Macaca mulatta: one gene and its partner. The protein of the gene in region 1 purifies or fractionates together with the protein of each later gene. This does not show direct contact. Links are inferred from orthologs where the notes say so. Each region holds a gene or a part of one and is shown on either strand. Other genes may lie near its edges.

Region 1 (3,649 bases):
TTGTAATAATTTTTGGTTTTTAATTGCACTTTAAAATACAGTCGCAATCATACTGTATCTATAATTTTGCAGTCTACTTATGATTGGTGTTCCTACCTGCAACCTACAATCATGTTATCTTCCTGCTCAAAAACCTTCAATGGTTGATCACTGACTTTATGATAAAAGCTAAATATTTAGCCTAGCTTTGAAGGACTTTCTCTACTTTTTAATCTGATCTCTAACTTCTCAACTGAAAAACAGTTCTGCTTCTGCATTAATAAAACTTTAGGTTTTTCTCTTTCATGTGTGTTTTTTTCTCATACAGTTCCACCTATGGAGAATGCTCTTACTCCTCCCTCACTTCCTGAATTCTACTGATTCTCCAAGGTGGCCGCCCACCACAGTTCAGGAGGGAATACTTCATTAATGGAACCATTCTCTTGAACTTTGTAATATACTGCCTTATGAATCTGTTATGTTTTGCATTCTATATTTTAGTAACTTTTCTCTGACTATAAAATACATGTTTATTTTGGAAAATTAAAAAGTATAAAACAAAAATAAAGATAATCTGTATTTCTTTAGCTGGGTATAATCATTGTAAATATTTAGAACTTTTTGGTCTGAGTGAATATTTATATATAAGAATAATTTTTTCAGTTTTGTGCTGACTTTTCAATTTAACATTATATCATGTGTATTTTCCAATGCTATTACATTATCTGTGAAGTATGGAATTGCTTTTTAAAGTCTTATACAGTTATTTACTTATTTTAATTTTTTTTCCAACGTCCCATTCAGAGTATAAGTTTTAGGAGCACAGACATGCCATCTTATCTTTCTTTGAATTTCTCTCAACATTCACCCTTACACAGAGGATGAATAAAGAGCTGCTGAATGATCTTTTTCTTACAGGCCTCTCTCACCTCATTTTTAGGTCAAGGCACTGGAGAGGGGTTTACAGTGGTGGACAGTGGAGTTGGAGTGGCATATAACATTTCATAGGAATCTTTCTCTAAAAGACTTTAAAGCTTTCGAAAGAACATTGGCATCTGGGTGTGCCTAATTTCTAGCTACACTCAAGAATTAAACCCAACTGGAAGCTTACAATATAAGTACAGGCCCACAATGCATGCGATCTCATGAGTAAACTATTTTTCTATTTTTTCTTAATACATCTTCTGCATGCATAAAAACAAAGACTCGGAGGATATTGTAGTACTGTGTGGTTAAGAGTCTTAAATTTTCTATTCTCTAGTAATTGTGGAGTAGCAGCATACCAGTTATGTTATTTTAAACATTAAAATGCCAGTCTGTAAATGGACTAAATTCTCTTCTAAGTGGGCTCATATACTGGCTTCTTTAGGACTAACTGGAACAATTTATTCAGTCTTAGTATTTAGTGTTAAATAATGGTAATAATATTGTTGTGGTATTTTAGAAAAAAAAAAAGAGTAATAACCAAAAGTTCTTTATCACTTAAGGTCTAGCCTTTTTCTATGAAAATAAATATACAATACATCCATTTTAACTTTACCAGTAACTTTAATTATGGCTGAATTGTACTACCTTAATAATACATCAGATCATGAACAATAATGAGTTGTTTACAAAGTTTTAATTGCTCAGTTACCAGTAAAGTATGTTTTCATCTTACCTGTAATAGAGTTGACAACAGACCGTAGAATTGTTGGCGGTTTAATTAATTCTTTCAAAATGTTAGATTCGGTAGCCAGTGGAAATCCATTGTCTAACATTTCTTCTAAGAGTTCATATACTATGACCACATTATCCTTAATCGCAGCCTCTGAACACTCACCAAAGTAGTCCTGACAAAATACACAATATCACACAATGGAAGGCACAAAGAAAGGCTTGCTAAATACTTTTTGTTCTGAAGAACAAACTTACAATAGCATTATTCATTGCTTAAGATGCTGAACATATGTAAAACAGAGCCAGGGAAAAAACCCTCCATAGGCCGGGCACGGTGGCTTATGCCTGCAATCCCAGCAATTTGGGAGGCTGAGGCGGGTGGATCACTTGAGGTCAGGAGTTCAAGACCAGCCTGGCCAACATGGTGAAACCCTGTCTCTACTAAAAATACAAAAATTAGCTGAGTGTGATGGTGCACACCTGTGGTCCCAGCTACTTGGGAGGCTGAGGAGGGAGGATTGCTTGAACCCGGGAGGCGGAGGTTGCGGTGAGCCAAGAGCACGCCACTGCACTCCAGCCTAGGCGACAGAGTGAGACTCTGTCTCAAACAAAAAAAAACAAGCAAACAAAAAAACCCCTCTATAGTCCTAACATTATTCCTCAGTATTTTCTTGATATTTCTAGCCTGAATTTAATTCCTATTACACATTATACTAGAAAGTATTGAGACATTAAATTGGAATTTGAGCTATAAACTTCATTCACCCTGATTAACTATTCCAACATACACATAGATAAGCTTAAATTGTTTGGTATATTCAGCAAGACAAGAGAAAAAAATAAAACGTAAATACAGAAGAGTTCATAACCAATGAAAATCTTGAGACCATTGAGAGAACTGTATGTGGAGGGCATTATTGTTTCCTGATGATATGCAGTCATCCCTTGGTAGTTGTGGGGAATTAGTTCCAGGATCCCCTGTGGATACCAAAACTCACAATTCTCAAGTCCCTGACATAAAATGGCATAGTATTTGCACATCACTTATACACATCGCCCTATATACTTTAAATCACCTCTAGATTACTTGTAATATCTAACACAATGTAAATGCTATGTAACTATTTGTTATACTGCATTGTTTAAGTAATAATGAGGAGAAGAAGTTTGTACATGTTCAGTTCAATTTTTTTGTTCAAATATTTGCCATGTAAGGTTCGGTGAATTCATGGATGCAGAACCCATGTATATGGAGAGCCAACTGTAATTTGTAATACATATAAAAAATAGTAAATACAGCAGCCATGTGTGCAACTGTACACCACATAGAAAAGGATTTATGAATTTATGCTTAAACAGAGAGAAACAGACAGTAAACATCAAAACCTGGGTAATTAAATAATATAATCATGTCTCACCTCCAGCTAACTTGGGTCATTTAAGTTAGAAAGGTATGATAGATAACCAACCTGAAAAGTGTCAGCAACTCGATGTAGGAACTCAATTACAAAGAGAGGTGGCACTTCAGTCTGTATGACAGATACAAAGAAGAGCTTATCCCGGTAGATACTGATGAGGTAGTGGTGAGGTGTTGAAATGACAGGTGGTACATTTTCAACATCAGCAGCTTTCTCTTGAGCTTCAAAGAAATAATCACAGACAGACTGGCTCACAACGCTCTTCCAGTGCTTCTCTAGAAATATGTCACCGGAACAGTTTATGAGAAATAGACTGTGGATCATTTTCTGTTGGGGCAAAGATAGGTTTAAATTTATTATACATTAAATATCATTTAACATATACAAAAAGATTATACACTTTGACCAAGTGGGACTTATTCCAAGAATGCAAAAATCAATCAATATGATATACAACTAGAACTAAAACAATCATTTCAAAAGGTGCAGAAATTGCATTTGACAAAATCCAACATCATTTTACAAAAAAAAAAAAAAAAAAAACCCAAGCCACTTAAGAACAAAAAGAAACCTCCTCAGCCAGGCTTGGTGGC
Region 2 (4,213 bases), on another chromosome or scaffold:
TTTGAGTAAATCAATCACTATTTTCCTCATTTCCATTTAAAGAACAAAGCTCACAGATGACAGGATGCTGTAAGGAACTAAGTCTATATACTGCAAAATACGAAACATGCTAAACATCAGCACTTTTTAAAACTGAAAACACATCTTTTGAACTAAAGCCTTTTATCTGACTCTGGGGGAAGTGGCAGCAGTGGGAAATGGTATGAAATGATGAGGCTACCTAATTTCTAGTTCAGTAAAAAGGTAAACTACCAATTGCTTACATGCCTCAGTGATTTTAATAACCCCTCATATCATTTTAGTACTCTGTAGTTTTCAAGGTACTTTCATCTATGAGCTCATGAGGTCTTATAAAAATCCTATGATCTCCAAAGATACATGAATGGTCAATAAGCACATGAAAAGATGCTCAACATCATTAGTCATTTTGGAAATTAAAATCAAAACCACAATGGGCCAGGTGAAGTGGCTCACACCTGTAATCCCAGCACTTTGGGAGGCCAAGACGGGCAGATTACTTGAGGTCAGCAGTTCAAGACCAGCCTGGCCAATATAGCAAAACCCCATCTCTACTAAAAATACAAAAATTAGCCAGGCATGGTGGCGGGCACCTGTAATCCCAGCAACTTAGGAGGCTGAGGCAGGAGAATCACTTGAACCCGGGAGGCAGAGGTTGCAGTGAGCCAAGATCACGCCACTGCAGCCTGGGAGACAGAGCAAGACTCAGTCTCGGGGGGAAAAAAAAAGCCACAATGAGATACCACTTTATACCCACTAAAATGTCTTTAATCAAAAAATAAATAAATAACGAATGGCAGGGATGTGAAGAAACTGGAATCCTTATACATTGCTGATGGAAATGTAAAATGGTGCAGCCACTTGGAAAGTTTGTCAAATAGTTTGCAGTTTCTCACAATGTTCACCATAGTTACCATATGATCCAGCAATTCTACTCCTAGGTATATAACCAAGAGAAATGAAGTCATAAGTCCACATAAAAACTTGCACAAGAATGTTCATAGCAGCATTAGTTAGAAGAGCCAAAAAGTAGAAACATCAGCTTATAAACAGACAATCAAAATATGGCATACCCATATAATGCAATATTATTCAGCAATAAAAGAAATGAAGATCAGATACATGCTACAACATGGATGAATCTTGAAAACATTATATTACATGAAACATGGCAGACACAAAAAAACCCACTTATTTATGATTTCATTTATATGCAACAGAATAGGCAAATTCCATCTGCCACTCTGGAGTAGGCAAATTCCATCTGCCACTCTGGAATAGTCAAATTCCATTTGCCATTCTAGAACAGGCGAATTTAGAGGGAAAGACTCTCTAGGGCTGGGACAGTCATGGAGAAATAGGCAATGAGTGCTAATGGGCAGAGGTTTCTTTTTGGGGTGATGAAAATGATCTAAAATTGATTGTGGTGATGGTTGTGCAGCTTCTGTGAACGTGCTAAAAAACACTGAACTGTCCCCTTTAAATAGGTAAACTGGGGCCGGACACAGTGGCTCATGCCTGTAATCCCAGCACTTTGGGAGGCTGAGTCTGGTGGATTGCTTGAGCCCAGGAGTTCAAGACCAGCCTGGGCAACATAGAAAGACTTCATCTGTGTAAGTAAATAACGTAAAATAAATAAGTAAATAGTATGGCATGTTAGTTTTATCTCTAGTTTTATCTAGTTTTACCTAGAAAAAAACTAGGGGGGAATCTGTATACACACAAATGCAAATACAAATAGTTATGTTGAATACTCATATTTTTACCTCGATGTAATCTACTTAATTAAATGTAATCTAGCTTTAAAAATCTTATGAAGGAGTAAAATTAGTTTTTCATTTCTAATTGACAAAAGACAGAATAATTTAAGTCTGAAAAGGGTTTATTAACTTGTCAATAGACGCAAGAGTAGAAAAGGTGGAGCTGAAGCCGGAATACGTTTTCTGACTCCCCTCTTCAGTTTGGCCAGTACCCCAATTATGTAACATTTTGAAACCCCGCCATGAAGAAATAAAATATTGGAAGATAGGAAGCAAATACTGATGTTTATGTGTTTGCAAAGGAACGTGTTGGGAAAATTCAAATTTACGTAATCACTTATTGAGCCCTTATGCAGCAGCATTTATAATTTCTCATCATGTTTCCACTTTTAAACTAAAATTTTCTTCAACCCTACAGAGTGAAGGGTATCTAGTCTCTGGAAAGTCCCAGCCAACACTGAAGCAAAATAATTCCAAATAAAGAACTTTTCCAGACCCTTTGGCTATAACAAAAACTTTCAGAAACTTAATATTTCTTCCTCATGAAACTGTGGTCAACAACCAAAAAGATGACAGAACGTGACTTCAATCATTCAAGTTCTCAACGAGGCACACTCCCCACTGTCGCTTCTATCTCGTTCCCAGAGACCCAAGGGAAAATGTCACAAAATGGCACAGAAATGCAGGATCCAGAAAAGGGTCAGAAAGAGCGAGGGCAGTAGGGCGGGAGACAGAATGCCTGGCACCGGCCTGCGCCCAGGTTAAGTGCTTAAGAAGGGTGAGGGTCATGCACGGTGCAGGAGCCCCAGGTGACCAAGGAGCGGTGCCCCCGGGCGCCCAGAGGCCAAAGAGGAAAGAAGAGATAGTGGGCACCCTCAACGGGCGTGGTGAAGCCGGGCCGCACTCACGAAACGCTGGTAGAAGCGGACTAGCCGCGGCTTTCCATGGTTGTTGAAAACCAGAATCGCCTGAATCATCTTTGCCGGCCACGGTTCTCTCAGCACCGGCTACTCCCAGAAATCGCCTCCTTCCGCCACAACACGGCCACTTCCGGTTGGTGCGCTGCTGAGAGCGGCACTCGGAAACTTGGCCCCGGCACCCAGGAGCCCTAGCACCCAAGGGTCCGGCCTCTTTGACGCCCTGGAGAAGGCGGCGGGGTCCCCTGCGGACTGCAGGTGCGGTTGCCCAGAAGCGTGGTCACCTCGACCAGCGTCGGTTGGCCGGTCAGGATGCGAATCCGGATCTATGTCCCTCGCCAAGACCGACAGCTGGCCCCAGAAGCCGAAACTTGACCACCAGCCGGGTTGCCAACACAGAGAGGCGGCGCGAGCTTGCCTTTCTCACCGTCCGCTCCAAAACCTGTACTCCCGCCTTCCCCTTAGCGCTCGCAGAACGTTCCGCGGAGTGGAGACGCCGGTCGTTCGGCCGTTCCTCGGTTAAGGAACGTTTCGTTCATTTTTATTTTTCAGTATTACAATGCTGCAGTGAATTACGTAGCTGTCTCTCCGTGCATATGGGCTGTTCCTCCATGGTAGACGGTGAATGGTGGAATTAAAGAATTTTTAGTGCATTTCCTTTAAAATCCCAAATCAATCAAGTTCTTATTTTTGTTTGTTCTTTTAATGACCCAGTGTGGGTAAGGTGGAGCACGTTCGTATACTGCAGATGGAGCAGCGGATACAGCTGCAAATCGATCCAGAGGACTTTTTGGCAATATGGATCAGAAGCCTTTAAAATATGTAACAGTCCAGGCCCGGGGGCTCACGCCTGTAATCCCAGCATTTTGGGAGGCTGAGGCGGGTGGCTCACTTGAGGTCAGCAGTTCGAGACCAGCCTGGCCAACATGGTGAAACCCCGCCTCTACTAAATTACAAAAATTAGCCGGGTGTGGTGGCGCGCGACTGTAGTCCCAGATATTTGGGACTCAGATACCCAGATACATAGTCCCGGGACTGAGGCAGGAGAATGGCTTGAACCTGGAAGGCGGAGGTTGCAGTGAGCCGAGATTGCATCACTGCACTCCAGCCTGGGCGACAGAGCGAGACTCTGTCTCCAAAAACAAAACTCTCTCTCTCTCTCTCTCTCTATATATATATATGTATTTATTTAACATTAGACTCAGCGTTTCCAGCTCTGGAATTTATAATAAAATGATTGTGGATGTGTGAAAAGATTTAGCCTCAGGAACATACATTTCTGCCAGAGTATCTTTAGAACAGTAAAAAAAAAAAAAAAAAAAAAGAAGAAAAAAATATATATCGCAGCAGTGTTATTACAGGGGAAAACGGGAAAAAAATTATTACAAAAATGAGAAATTGGTTAAGTGCATTGTTCTACATGAATATGAGAAATATTAAATAGCTAATAAAAATCATGCTGGGAAAGATTTATGATACAGAAGTGTTCATGACATCTGTTAAGCCAAAAGATTACAC

Evidence for each region. The genes of interacting proteins can lie anywhere in the genome.
Region 2: the proteins of AP3M1 (region 1) and AP3S2 purify together in Homo sapiens (co-immunoprecipitation; 3 studies listed by BioGRID and IntAct, counting the BioPlex papers as one, with this or other methods). This does not show direct contact. The link is inferred for Macaca mulatta from reciprocal best matches to the Homo sapiens genes AP3M1 and AP3S2.

What each region holds. Positions count from the first base shown.
Region 1 is NC_133414.1:75,486,831-75,490,479, reverse strand, and holds part of AP3M1 (AP-3 complex subunit mu-1), read right to left. Parts: intron 3,384-3,649; coding exon 3,108-3,383; intron 1,812-3,107; coding exon 1,640-1,811; intron 1-1,639. UniProt on the Homo sapiens protein: Part of the AP-3 complex, an adaptor-related complex which is not clathrin-associated. The complex is associated with the Golgi region as well as more peripheral structures.
Region 2 is NC_133412.1:79,707,258-79,711,470, forward strand, and holds the start of AP3S2 (AP-3 complex subunit sigma-2), read right to left. Parts: upstream 2,803-4,213; 5' UTR 2,756-2,802; coding exon 2,687-2,755; exon of another isoform or gene 1,760-2,686; intron 1-1,759. UniProt on the Homo sapiens protein: Part of the AP-3 complex, an adaptor-related complex which is not clathrin-associated. The complex is associated with the Golgi region as well as more peripheral structures.